2 linked regions of the Oryza sativa Japonica Group genome follow. The protein of the gene in region 1 interacts with the protein of each later gene in a pairwise test. Links are inferred from orthologs where the notes say so. Each region holds a gene or a part of one and is shown in the gene's direction. Other genes may lie near its edges.

Region 1 (7,075 bases):
GCTTTAATATTTTTTCCCCTGAAACAGTAACAAGGGATCCCTTCCTCATTTCGTTAACAGTGGAAGTGAATACAGACACCAACCGATGAGCAGAGACACCTGTAATTAAACACCAAAAGAAGAACCTGTTTTGTTCCTATATATTTTCCATTTCTATGCTTTAGGTAATATACTTTCTGGTTCGGTGTCATAGTACCCGAAATAGAATCTTTGCTTGCCAAAAAAAGAAAGAATAACAAGATAGAACAACATCATTAAATTCTGTCTTAGACAATACATTTATAATCGACCAACAAAAACAGACCGATGAGTGACGTGGAATAACAAATGAAGTATAAATGTCACGAAAAACACATCTATTGATTTTGTGTGATAAGCCATAGGAGCCTACGAGGAACCAAGTGAATGGTTCTGTACACCACATCCATTAGCATTACCATAAATTTGCCTATTTCTATGATGCCTTCCTTAACATATTTATCGACATGTGAGCTTGCACCATAACTAAATGTTATGGTAAACTTTACCTTATAAATGATTGCAACATGTACCTTTTCATTTCGATAATTAAAAACGAGAAAGCTTCCACCTTTTTCCTAGATATATTTTTTCGTTTGATTATGAATTTAGTTGTACTTGACAATAAAATAATGCGCTTGTAAGATTATGCAATTTTCGTTGCATTACCTCCCTCTCTTTTCATTTGTCAGTTTTTTTCTACTCCCTCCGTTTCATATTTTAAGTCGTTTGACTTTTTTCCTAGTCAGACTTTGTTAAGTTTGACAAAGTTTATAGTAAAATTTAGCAATATCTAAAATATTAAATTGGTTTCATCAAATCTAACATTGAATATATTTTGATAATATGTTTTTTTTGTGTTGAAAATACTTCTATATTTTTCTATAAACTTAGTCAAACTTGGAAGAAATTTCAGTAAGAAAAAAGTCAAACGGCTTATAATATGAAACGGAGGGAGTAAATTTTTTTTTGCATTAATTAAAATTCATGTATTTTCCTCCTTTTTTGGTTTTTGTTGTGCGATATATTACAGTGTAGAGACTCTGAAGCTCATATGGTTGGCATTGGTTGATATGATAACGTGTCACGTTGTGAGATGCAGACCCCCGTTATGGGGGTTGATTGAATGAAGTGGATAGCACTCTTATAACTTTCTTGCTCGAAGTTTCTTGATACCAAGGCAAGTAGCTTATAAGAAGATTTGGACTTTGGTGGCATAAATGGATGAACTAACTGGCGGCTTCAACGTGGTGTTGATTACAGGTGCTTTTATTGCTAACTGGAGCAGTTTGTGTAGTTTCTTTCTTTCTCTTTGAGAATTCTCTCAGTTTCTTGGGCAGGCTCTTGAGCTACCAAGTATGTCAGCTTCAAATGAGAAGTGGATTGATGGGCTCCAGTTCTCATCACTGTTCTGGCCCCCACCACAGGATTCACAACAAAAACAGGTAACATTATTCCTATTTGATTCTTGTTAGAAATTCTATATGTTGAACATACTTGCCTCAATGGGAAACTTGGTTGCGTCTCCTCTCTGAAGGCACAAATTCTGGCCTATGTTGAGTACTTTGGCCAGTTTACAGCTGACAGTGAGCAATTCCCTGAAGATATAGCTCAGGTACTGTATCTCTAAGCATGTTTAGTATCTTCTGTGATAAAATCTTTCTCCAGTGTGTTAACTTTTGCATTCTTTTTCTTGCATGCTTGCAGCTAATTCAAAGTTGCTATCCATCAAAAGAAAAGCGCCTTGTAGATGAAGTATTAGGTAATTTGATCCAGTGATCAATACATGTTCCACAAACAATTGAAGAAAGAGTTTGACATATTTTTCTCATATTTCCAGCAACTTTTGTTCTTCATCATCCTGAGCATGGCCATGCAGTTGTGCATCCGATTCTGTCACGCATCATAGATGGGACACTCAGTTATGATAGAAATGGTTTCCCGTTCATGTCCTTCATCTCTTTATTTAGCCATACTTCTGAGGTAAGGCCCCTACTCTAATGGTTAGTTCCAATTTATTGGTTCATTTCTCTGTGTTTGATAAGATTTTGCCTCTGCTGTGCATTTCAATATTATATCTAAACTGTGCTGCTTATAGCTTATCAAACTACTCTTGCTCATAAAGATGCAACTTTTATGCAGAAAGAGTACTCGGAGCAGTGGGCCTTGGCCTGTGGAGAAATTCTTAGAGTTCTAACTCACTACAACAGGCCAATCTTCAAAGTTGATCACCAACATAGTGAAGCGGAATGTAGCAGCACATCTGATCAGGCCTCATCATGTGAGTCTATGGAGAAAAGGGCTAACGGTTCTCCAAGAAATGAACCTGACCGGAAGCCATTGAGGCCACTATCTCCTTGGATCACAGACATATTGCTTGCTGCACCTCTGGGTATTAGAAGTGACTATTTTAGATGGTGAGTCATAATAAATGATAACATATTATTGTTCTGTGGACTGAAAATCTGAAATCCTCCTTTCTTGAGAAATACAACCTCAATTTTATGGTGATATTGACAAGAAGGAAGAGCGCATATAATTTAAAGTTAAAACACGGAAAATAATAGAAGTATGTGAGCAGAACGCAGGAGCAAGGGGTGGAACTCATAACAAGTTCAAACTTCATGCATGTTCATAATTCCCCAATGCAAGTATGGCAAGAAAAATAGACAACTTTTAAAAGTATGCTAATGGAACTGCATGCATTGTGTAAACTTGCTTTTGTCAAGCATGTTGGAACATACTATATATTTGCTGCTGATGATGAAAAATTTGCTTGAGTACTCTTCTATTGCTAATGGACGCTTACCATTCCCTGTTTTGTCTTCAAATGCATCAGGTGTGGTGGAGTCATGGGAAAATACGCAGCTGGTGGAGAATTGAAGCCTCCAACAACTGGTTGGTAAAATCAGCAATGGAATTTTCTATCGTGAATTTTTTATAATTATTGTAACATTAATTACTCCCATGTCTTTTTATTCTGTTGAGATACCATGTGACAATGTCTACAATTGCATATTTTGCATTCTTTGGTAGATCAGTTCCCTTCTTAAGATCCCCAAAGGGAAACTGGAGTATCAATAACTTACTCCCTCAAATAAAAAAAAAGTGATACTTTAGGCATAAACACATTCTTCAAAACAAAACTTTGAATAGCAGTTTCTTTTGTAATATATTAATAAAGCATGGAAAAATTATAATGTGAAGAATGTACATTCAGGGACAAATATACTCATCATTTTTGCATGGTTGATCTTAATGTCCATAGAGAGATTGATCAGACCAAAAGTTTATTTTTGACAGGAGTGAGTATGGATTATAATAGGAGTGAATGGCAATATGCTGTGAAAGTGAGCATTTTATATTTGTTTACTACTAGCATTTGGTGACAAAGCAAATGATGTATATTGTAAATCAAAGTAAACAAGTAGAACATGTCCTGTGGCGACAAGACATAACCTACAAATTAAAGTTAGCCTGATTGTTTATTTTACTGGGAGCACATTTTTTCTAGATTCTAGAGTACATATTATTAAAAAAGGTGTGATATGTTTGCAAATTACTTTTTAATGGAAGTTTGTAAATTACTTTGAAACTTGCATTCAGTTTTTTTGCTTCTTAAAAAACATAGTGCATATGGGCTTTATGAGCTCATACTATGCATGTTTTTCTGCATTGGAGTGGGACCTTTATCTTTTTCTTGCAACTCGGATGCTAATGCTTATTATAAACACAAGTTACTAACATGTGCTTGGGTCATTCAGCTTACAGCCGAGGATCTGGGAAGCACCCACAACTTATGCCATCCACGCCCAGATGGGCTGTTGCCAATGGAGCTGGAGTTATACTAAGTGTCTGTGATGAGGAAGTAGCTCGTTATGAGACAGCAAATTTGACTGCGGCAGCTGTTCCTGCACTTCTATTACCTCCACCGACCACACCATTGGACGAACATTTGGTTGCGGGGCTCCCTCCTCTTGAACCATATGCTCGCTTGTTTCATAGGTAAGCTCTTATGATCCTGTCCACTGTTGTACCATGTGTACTTTCCAAATGATTGCTAACATGCTATTTTTCGTCAGATACTATGCAATTGCTACTCCAAGTGCTACCCAAAGGTTGCTTTTTGGTCTTCTCGAGGCACCACCATCATGGGCCCCAGATGCACTTGATGCAGCAGTACAGCTTGTTGAACTCCTTAGAGCAGCGGAAGATTACGATTCTGGCATGCGGGTATATCATACATCTCTCTGGCTGTTGTTTCAGTGCTATCAATCAAGATGACACATCATGCAATATTATCATAACAGCACATTATGTGTTTTGAATATTTTATTGATTGTCATAGCTTTGTTTTATGTTTTAGCTTCCAAAGAACTGGATGCATCTTCATTTCCTGCGTGCTATTGGAACTGCAATGTCAATGAGAGCTGGTATCGCTGCTGATACGTCTGCTGCTTTACTTTTCCGAATACTCTCCCAACCGACATTACTTTTTCCTCCACTGAGACATGCCGAAGGAGTTGAACTCCATCATGAGCCACTAGGTGGCTATGTATCATCGTACAAAAGGCAGGTATGCAGTGTTTCCTGCACCTACTTGCTACCTATTCTGTATTTGATGTATTCAATTTCCTTTTTATCAGTTTTCTCGAAATATATGCTAATAGGCTTGTCACTAAACGGCTACATTATCCAGACTCTGTTCTGAATTTTTTTTTCATTAAGTACTGTTAGCTGCCAGATTACATCATCATGACTAAAGTAGTTTAGCTACAATATTGCAAAGCTAGATTTGTCTAGCCTCTATTGTTTTGAATAGAAAAGGCAGGTATGCAGTGTTTCCTGCACCTACTTGCTACCTATTCTGTATTTGATGTATTCAATTTCCTTTTTATCAGTTTTCTCGAAATATATGCTAATAGGCTTGTCACTAAACGGCTACATTATCCAGACTCTGTTCTGAATTTTTTTTTCATTAAGTACTGTTAGCTGCCAGATTACATCATCATGACTAAAGTAGTTTAGCTACAATATTGCAAAGCTAGATTTGTCTAGCCTCTATTGTTTTGAATAGAAAATTAAATCTTTTGGTCATTTTTTTGTAACCTTTTAGGAGTCTCTGTATGCTTGTCGTCAACATGCTATGATAAGTTTATATCAGTTCTTTTGGAGCTATGATGTATTCTTGTATATTTTATGACTGCTAGGATATTATGTTAAAACTGTTTTAAAGGTATCATCAAACAAGTTAATATAGATATTGCTACCTACCAAAGTTGGAATTTGATTATGTCGTAAAATATATGCACCCTACATGTTTTAGCTTCATATTGACTTATATTTTCATATGTGCTCCTTCAACTGCACAAAGCTGGAAGTTCCTGCATCTGAAGCCACTATTGATGCCACTGCGCAAGGCATTGCTTCCATGCTATGTGCTCATGGTCCCGATGTTGAGTGGAGAATATGTACCATCTGGGAGGCTGCGTATGGTTTGCTACCTCTGAGTTCATCAGCAGTTGATTTGCCTGAAATTGTTGTAGCTGCTCCACTTCAGCCACCTACTTTGTCATGGAGCCTATACTTGCCATTGTTGAAAGTATTTGAGTATTTACCTCGTGGGAGTCCATCTGAAGCATGCCTTATGAGAATTTTTGTGGCAACAGTTGAAGCTATACTGAGAAGAACTTTTCCATCAGAAACCTCTGAACAATCCAGGAAACCAAGAAGTCAATCTAAGAACCTTGCTGTTGCTGAACTCCGAACAATGATACATTCACTCTTTGTGGAGTCCTGTGCTTCAATGGACCTTGCGTCCAGATTACTATTTGTAGTATTAACTGTTTGCGTCAGTCATCAAGCTTTGCCTGGGGGAAGTAAAAGGCCAACTGGTAGTGATAATCATTCCTCTGAGGAGGTCACAAATGATTCGAGATTAACCAATGGAAGAAACAGATGTAAGAAGAGACAAGGACCAGTTGCTACATTCGACTCATACGTTCTAGCAGCCGTTTGTGCCTTATCTTGTGAGCTCCAGCTGTTCCCTTTTATTTCCAAGAATGGGAACCATTCAAATCTGAAGGACTCCATAAAGATAGTCATACCTGGAAAAACCACTGGTATCAGTAACGAGCTACACAATAGCATTAGCTCAGCGATTCTTCATACTCGTAGAATACTTGGCATCTTGGAAGCTCTGTTCTCCTTGAAGCCATCATCTGTTGGTACTTCATGGAGTTATAGTTCAAATGAGATTGTTGCAGCAGCTATGGTTGCTGCTCATGTTTCTGAGTTATTTCGTCGATCCAGGCCATGCTTAAATGCACTGTCTGCGCTGAAGCAATGCAAGTGGGATGCTGAGATTTCTACCAGGGCATCATCCCTTTACCATTTGATTGACTTGCATGGTAAAACAGTGACCTCCATTGTGAACAAAGCTGAGCCTCTAGAAGCTCACCTGACCCTTACACCAGTAAAAAAGGATGAACCTCCCATTGAGGAAAAGAACATTAACTCATCAGATGGTGGTGCATTGGAAAAAAAGGATGCTTCAAGATCACACAGGAAAAATGGTTTTGCAAGACCACTCTTGAAATGTGCAGAAGATGTTATACTAAATGGTGATGTCGCAAGTACTTCTGGGAAAGCCATTGCAAGTTTACAGGTGGAAGCTTCTGATTTGGCAAACTTCCTCACCATGGACCGAAATGGGGGTTACAGAGGTTCTCAAACTCTCCTAAGATCTGTACTGTCAGAGAAGCAGGAGCTATGCTTCTCTGTTGTCTCATTGCTCTGGCAGAAGCTCATTGCATCTCCCGAAATGCAGATGTCTGCAGAAAGTACATCAGCTCATCAGGGTTGGAGAAAGGTATGGTCATTCCTGCTTATAAGATACCAGAATAATGCTATGAAGACCGTCCTTGGTTGTCAGCATTCTTATACACAATGATAATCTTTGTTTTTCATGGGTAGGTTGTGGATGCGCTTTGTGACATTGTTTCAGCCTCACCGACCAAGGCTTCAGCTGCTATCGTTCTGCAGGTCAAGATATTGT
Region 2 (6,841 bases), on another chromosome or scaffold:
AGATCGATGAGTTTATTCTTGACAAGTGTTTGATGCTTTTGTACTTATGCTGAGCTCTATGCAATTGCAAGTCTTGCTGTGTTGTGGTCGTTAGTGGAAGAAGCCCTATGTATATTGCCTCCTGTCAGAGTGAAAACAAAAATACTAGTAGGAATGAGCTATGCATTATCCGTTTCGGATTCTGCAACTATTGCACGATTGTTTATGGTTCTTTAGAGCAATTGATGTATTCTATAATTATTACTCGGTGATAGATGGGAGGCTGACTTGTGAAATTGTTACTTGACTTACATTGCATTCTTGTTTTCCCGTGTTCATGATAGCAGAAAGTGGCAATTCCTTGGTAAACCTTCGTATTTTGAGTTTTTTAAATGATCTTAGTTTTTTGTGGCTACATTTATGGATATTGAAATGGTTAACTTTGGACTAGTAGCGGATCTAGAAGTTCTCTTGAGCTTGGGCAAACCTAAACGAATGGGCTAGATTATAGGATTAATAAGTATTATTTTTTTGTCAAAAGTAGATAATGGCTGTTGGAGAACTGTGTAGCTTTGGCCTTAGGCTGATGGCAGCAAACATTGGTGTGAGGCTGTGTCTTGACTCCTTTGTTGCTTGCATAGCTGATTTAGCCTCTATTAAAAGAAGCAGATTAAGCAGGGGCATTAAGTGGTAATCCACTGGCTAATACGGTGGAGCCCGGGCACCTGCCCGTGGTGGCCGGGCCCTAGCTCCGCTGCTGCTTTGGACAAATTTAATTTTCTTGCTGGCAATGATACCATAATGTGCCAATGCTTATTTACAATCATAGCGCCTTTTATTTTTCCATAGCATATGCTATTGTTTTTTGATATAGATAAAGGTCTAAATTGGGTCGTTAAATTAATATTAATGAAATTTGTCACCAAGTTACTACTGGTGACAACTGACAATTAATCGCTGTTACTACCGGTGACAACTGGCAATTATTCGCCTACTTTGTTATTTAATTTTACAAGAGGGAAATATGGGAAAAGATTGGTTAAATTTTGGGAGGGATAGGTCAAGGGTATAATGGCATGTTGGATGATACCTTTTATGCGTTTACTCATGTGTTACCGTATTTGGTCCAATATGGAATATCCATGCACAAAACCTTTTTTTTCTTTTGTCCTGTAGCATGAAATGAACCTATTTATCATGTTGGTGATATCATCAGTACGGCTCCTTTTGTGTTTATGTTCTGTTTTGGCTCTGCTCTTCTTCAAGTTGTAAATAAAAGATACTTGAATGTTGGTTCAGCTTTTCTTTTTATGCTTGAATTAGTGATTTCTCTTTGTTGCCAAACACATATCTTTAGTTTTGATTTCGCACACTGCCTACTTATATTGTCTTGTTTGGCAGCTCGATTTTACTGTACTCAAATACAAAAACCAAAAGCTCTCAGAGCAACTAGAAGCCCACAAGTTTGAGTATCGTGCTCTTGAAAATAAATTCGCTGGGCTAAAAGAGAAGCAGAGGACTCATAATGAGACACTTTCCTTGGTCAACAGTTCTTGGGAACAAGTAAGCTATTATTTTGTGCATGTTTTACCAAAAAAGACAGACTTTATAATGTTTCTTCCTGAATCCCTTTATTTGATCAGCTTGTGGCAGACCTGAAGTCAAGATCTTTTTGCAAAAGTGGATCTCCTAATTCCAGCCCTGGTTCAGGGCACAACAATGTACAAAAGGGTATGACTTCCTTTATTTTCTAAAAACATCCCAACTACATTTTCCTAGACAGGTTTTGAAATATGGGAGTGCCATCTACTCCCTCTGTCTCCTCATATAAGGGATTTTGACATTTTGCTTGCACTGTTTGACCATTCGTCTTATTCAAACATTTTTGGAATTAGTTTTTTTGTGACTTATTATCCAAAGTACTTTAAGCACAACTTTTCGTTTTTTATATTTGCACAAATTTTTTTGAATAAGATGAGTGGTCAAACAGTGCAAGCAAAATGTCAAAATCCCTTATATTATGGGACGGAGGGAGTATTTAAGTAGCAAATGATTATCACTATGGAAAAACCTTTTGATCTGGTCATCTTTGTGGTCCATTGCTCTTGTGGCAATTGTTTAAGATAATGCTGCTTGGTTGCAAAAACTGCACTTTTCAGATTATGTAATAAGTTATAAGTTATTTATGTTAATGAGCTTGATATGCATTTTAACGATGGCCGCTCCTATTCTTTTCCATAGTTGCCTATCAGGTTAACTATAAACCTTCTCTTTTCAGATGGTACTTGTGCACCCATAGAGAGGGACACTCTTAGAAGTCTTGTGGAATCTGGTGCAACTGAAAGTTCAGGTTGTTTGCCTGGTTGCCACTTGGGAAGTGATGCCCCTCCATTACATCTATCCACAGCTAATGCTCTTGGGGATATCTTTTTTCCATCAAGTGATCTTTTGCAAGCAAATGAGGAGTGTGCTTTGGCTGCTCTCACTAAATTACCAGAAAATGGTTCGTCTTCTAGTTCATATATTCTGTTAACTAGTACTCCCTTCGACCCATAAAAAACCAACCTAGTTTTGGATGTGACATATCCTAGTACAACGAATTTGGACATATCTCTGTCTAGATTTGTTGTACTAGAATGTGTCACATCCAGTCTAGATTCGTTTTTTGTTGGACGGAGAGAGTATAGCTTTCAGTTGTACTAATACAAAAGAAGTACTAATTTCATCCATGTTCTGTAGACCGCAGTAAGCAACTACAGAGTACTAGTAGCAACCTGTTGTCCAGCCTCAATAATGTCGTACAAGCATTAAGTAATCTTCAGTTGAAGCACAAGCAGTTAGCAGAGGATTATCAAAATCAAAGAGATTCCAGTGCCCGAAAAAGAGCTGAACATAGACGTCTAAAAGGTATCTTGTTTAGAGATTGTGCTGATGTTTCTTTACAGTTGTTTTAACTTTCAAATAAGCATCCATGCCATTTAAAGGAACATGTTTCGCAACATTTGAGACCTGCTATACATCTTGAATTATCAAACATGTTGCCATCAACTCCTATCTATCCTCCCTACGCATTAACCAGCAATCTTCTGGAGAGCATTCTTGCGATAATAGGCTGTACTGTTGCAGTACTCTTATATTTACTGCGCCAGCGCTTCAGACTTGTACCATATTTTCCCTATACATTTTTTTACCTAGATACGTTGTCCTAATACATTGGGTAAAACTAACCAGATGTTTTGGTTTACTTTGTCAAGAGGAGTTGGCCAGTGCTGCTTCTGAGTTGGAAGAAACTAACTACAAACTGGCAGCACTTAAAGCTCAAAGAGATAATACACAAGGAGCTCGAATCCCATATCCTACATTAGGAAACAAAAATATGCCTGAAGATAAGGTCAGAGATAAACAAAGAGAGATGCAGGATCTTGAAGCTACTCACAAGGAATTATCGGTAACTGCCATCGTTCATTTTTAAAGTTCCAAATTACTACTTCCTCCGTTTCACAATGTAAGTCATTCTAGCATTTCCCACATTCATATTGATGTTAATGAATCTAGATATCTAGATTCATTAACATCAATATGAATGTGGGAAATGCTAGAATGACTTACATTGTGAAACGGAGGGAGTACCTGTGATATGTATGATCTGACCCAATTATCAACCAGGAATTGATTTCAAAGCGGTTGGTGGAAATTAAGAGATTACATGAAGAGAGAATTGAAATTTTGAACAAAATAGCAACTTTTCAGGTTTGTTGATTGGTCAAGCACAGAATGCATCCTTGCTTAGCCTTGAAGGCCCATGCTTAATATTTATTGCATGGGAGAATTTTTTAGTATCAGAACCTGTATGACTAACTTTGTGTGTGTGTTTTTAATCTCCTCCAGAATATCTTGATGGATTTCAAGAGCATTCGTTCTTCAAAAGCTTTTCAGCTTGTTAATGATCGACTTCAGAAGTCACAAGCAGAATTGGATCACTACCAGACATTATTAGAGAAATTACAGGTGGTTACTGGTCAGTGGATTTGTTGGATTCCAGAGTTGTATAGCAAAAATGTCTCGCTAGAGCATTTGATCTTTTGTTGAATTCCTATTTGATATGTTTCAGGTTGATAAGGATAAGTTTGTGTGGCAAGAAAGGCAATTTAATTTGAAAGTTGATCTGGCTGAGATTCCTGAGAGGGTTTCTACATATTGTGAGTCTAGCATTGCTGATCTCAAGAAGGATATTCAGAAACTATGTGATGAAAAAAACATGCTTATTCTCAAACTTGAAGAGGCTTCAAGAGAACCTGGTGCGGTAGTTACTATTCACTTTACCAAGAGTAACTTTCAAACTTGTCTTGCTAAAGCAGGTAATAAGGAATTGTTTGCACTTGTCAGGTCGGAATCAAGTTATTACAAAATTTAAAGCTTTAGTGTCATCGATACCAAGGGAAATGGGCGCGATGCAGAGTGAAATGACCAAACACAAGGAGGCTTCCTTGGAGTTGAATTCTTTGCGAGCAGAAGTCCATTCACTTTCTCGCATTCTGTCCAGAAAGGTAAATTGCTTGTTATTGGCTTGCACATATGACTCGCAAGTGTTATGGCATTGATTCGCCAATGTGTCAGGCTGTTTATTTTGTTTTATAGGAACGTGATAATGAAGAAGCATCATGCAGATCTGCCCGTGCGGGATCTGATATAACACAACTTCAATCAGTGGTATCTTGTTTGTTTAGACTCAGCTTATTTTTTCTCTTCATTAAGGTGTTTTGTTTAGCTATTGCAGGAATTTGTCCTCCCATGATAATTTGACATATTGAAACCAAAACCCTGTAGATTTCTGATCTGAAGCAAACTAATAAGGAGCTTAAGTTGTTCGCGGATATGTATAAGCGTGAATCCACTGATTCCAGGTATTTCAATTTTATATCATATATAATTCTCAACACAACTTTTTTTTTTGGCTAAGACTTGTGATATTTTGTAGAGATAGATGCATCTCACTTCTTAGGACAGAGTGCAGTGTAATGCCGTGTTTAATTGTTTACCTATCATGTATTTAATTCATTGCACGGTCACTCTACTATGGCCATGACATTTCATCACTCATCACCAGTAACTTAAGTTTATTTATTTTGTGATGGAAATAACCTTTTTTTGTGTGTGTGGCAGGGAAATAATGGAATCCAGAGATAGGGAATTCCTTGAATGGGCTCATGTTCATGCCCTGAAATCATCTCTTGATGAAAGTAAGCTAGAGCAGCGTGTTAAGGCTGCCAATGAAGCTGAAGCAATCACACAGCAGAGGCTAGCAACTGCAGAAGCTGAGATTGCTGAATCAGGGCAGAAGCTTGGGACTTCTAGAAAGTACAGAATTATGCTTCTGAACATTGTTTCTCTTAGAACTGTTGAAGTAGGGGTCACTTCTCTTTTAGGGTTACTAAAGGAAATTGATGCTTACTGCTGAATGTTCACTGTGTTCAGGGATCTAGTCAGTTTATCCCATATGCTGAAGTCTAAACAGGAAGAATGTGAAGCTTACAGAGTGGAGGTCGAGGTGTGTGCCATCTTTTATGCATGCAGTTCAAGTATGGCTTTAAACATATATTAAACATTGTCATCCTGAGTTTGAAACTTTTACTAACCTATTCCAGTGTATCGGGCAAGCATATGAGGACATACAGGCACAAAACCAACAATTGCTACAGCAGATTATTGAAAGAGATGATGATAATACCAAGGTAGTGACTCAATGATTTCTTTAAAGCTATTATCTCAGATAATCCTCTCCCAAGCTTATAGTTTTATAAGAGTTCCCATTTACCACTGTACCAAATCTGGTTGCACAAATAGCTTTCATGTTTCTGATATATTCATAGGATGTTAGATTTGGTTATATTGTTAATTTGATTGTTCCGGAGACTCAGTACTTCATTGAAAAGCTGTTTACTTGCGTTAAGTTGGTGATGCGGAATTTCATAAAATAGGCCAAAGTTCCAAACCCTTGTGGACAGCAACTACTGGTTGCCAAAAAAAAATCCTTGTGGATTCCTGGATGAGTATTGCCTGCCCTTTATTTAGATATCTTTTTGAAAAGAAAGTTAGAACATTTTTCTAAATGACCATCAACAGTTTTTTTTTTGGGTAAATGGTGTTGTTTCAAGGTCAAAGAACCAGAGAAAATCAGGACGACTGCGCCTTTTAATAGTAGAGATAAATTGAAAATTTTTAGCCGTGCTATTTGTACCATAGCTCCTTACTCTTTGGAGTGCCCTTGATAATCCAGGCAGCCTATCCAAGGGTCCTGAACTCCTGATAAATCTACAGTTCCAGTGATTGTGTATGTTTTGATCCAAAATTTTAGTTTGATGTTTTATTGAAATTTTACTGATAGTAAAGCTTGTTTACTTCGGATGTATTGAATAAGAAATGTGCTAACTCTGCATTTGGTATTTCAATCCCATTGAGGAATGGAAGCTTTAGGATGAATCAATCTGGTAGTAAACTATTTTTTCAGTAGTCGTAACATTTTTGTTTGGTGAAATCTACACTGCAGATTTTTATGGAGGGTGTTAAAGCAAAACAGACACAAGATGCTTTGCATTTGGAAACATATTCTTTGCGCAGAAACTTGCAGCAGGAAAGCTCTTTGATGGATCTGTACAACCAGAAAATTGTTTCCTTAGAAGATCAGGTAGGTTGAACGCAAATATTGTATAATCCAATACAATCCTTCCAGGAGGTGCTGAATATTATTTTCCCCTGATTCCCAGCTTAAAATGTGGTCTGATCGGGTTGGGAAACTTCAAGAGGATGGATGGCAACAATCTGTTTCATTGAGTAATTACCAAAGAAAGCTGGTTGATGTGCA

The links.
Region 2: the proteins of protein GIGANTEA (region 1) and E3 ubiquitin-protein ligase BRE1-like 1 interact in binary tests that used the Arabidopsis thaliana proteins (3 or more experiments, as listed by UniProt). The link is inferred for Oryza sativa Japonica Group from reciprocal best matches to the Arabidopsis thaliana genes GI and HUB1.

Annotation. Positions count from the first base shown.
Region 1 is NC_089035.1:4,341,333-4,348,407, reverse strand, and holds part of protein GIGANTEA, read left to right. Parts: intron 1-1,051; 5' UTR 1,052-1,281; exon of another isoform or gene 1,282-1,358; 5' UTR 1,359-1,376; coding exon 1,377-1,463; intron 1,464-1,555; coding exon 1,556-1,633; intron 1,634-1,725; coding exon 1,726-1,780; intron 1,781-1,858; coding exon 1,859-2,001; intron 2,002-2,160; coding exon 2,161-2,435; intron 2,436-2,857; coding exon 2,858-2,916; intron 2,917-3,782; coding exon 3,783-4,023; intron 4,024-4,100; coding exon 4,101-4,251; intron 4,252-4,384; coding exon 4,385-4,594; intron 4,595-5,392; coding exon 5,393-6,889; intron 6,890-6,993; coding exon 6,994-7,062; intron 7,063-7,075. UniProt on the Arabidopsis thaliana protein: Involved in regulation of circadian rhythm and photoperiodic flowering. May play a role in maintenance of circadian amplitude and period length. Is involved in phytochrome B signaling. Stabilizes ADO3 and the circadian photoreceptor ADO1/ZTL.
Region 2 is NC_089038.1:28,057,527-28,064,367, reverse strand, and holds part of E3 ubiquitin-protein ligase BRE1-like 1, read left to right. Parts: intron 1-1,380; coding exon 1,381-1,542; intron 1,543-1,622; coding exon 1,623-1,710; intron 1,711-2,257; coding exon 2,258-2,482; intron 2,483-2,718; coding exon 2,719-2,886; intron 2,887-3,233; coding exon 3,234-3,427; intron 3,428-3,645; coding exon 3,646-3,729; intron 3,730-3,867; coding exon 3,868-3,987; intron 3,988-4,090; coding exon 4,091-4,277; intron 4,278-4,365; coding exon 4,366-4,526; intron 4,527-4,617; coding exon 4,618-4,689; intron 4,690-4,806; coding exon 4,807-4,883; intron 4,884-5,142; coding exon 5,143-5,337; intron 5,338-5,454; coding exon 5,455-5,527; intron 5,528-5,624; coding exon 5,625-5,711; intron 5,712-6,526; coding exon 6,527-6,664; intron 6,665-6,743; coding exon 6,744-6,841. UniProt on the Arabidopsis thaliana protein: E3 ubiquitin-protein ligase that monoubiquitinates H2B to form H2BK143ub1. H2BK143ub1 gives a specific tag for epigenetic transcriptional activation and is also prerequisite for H3K4me and maybe H3K79me.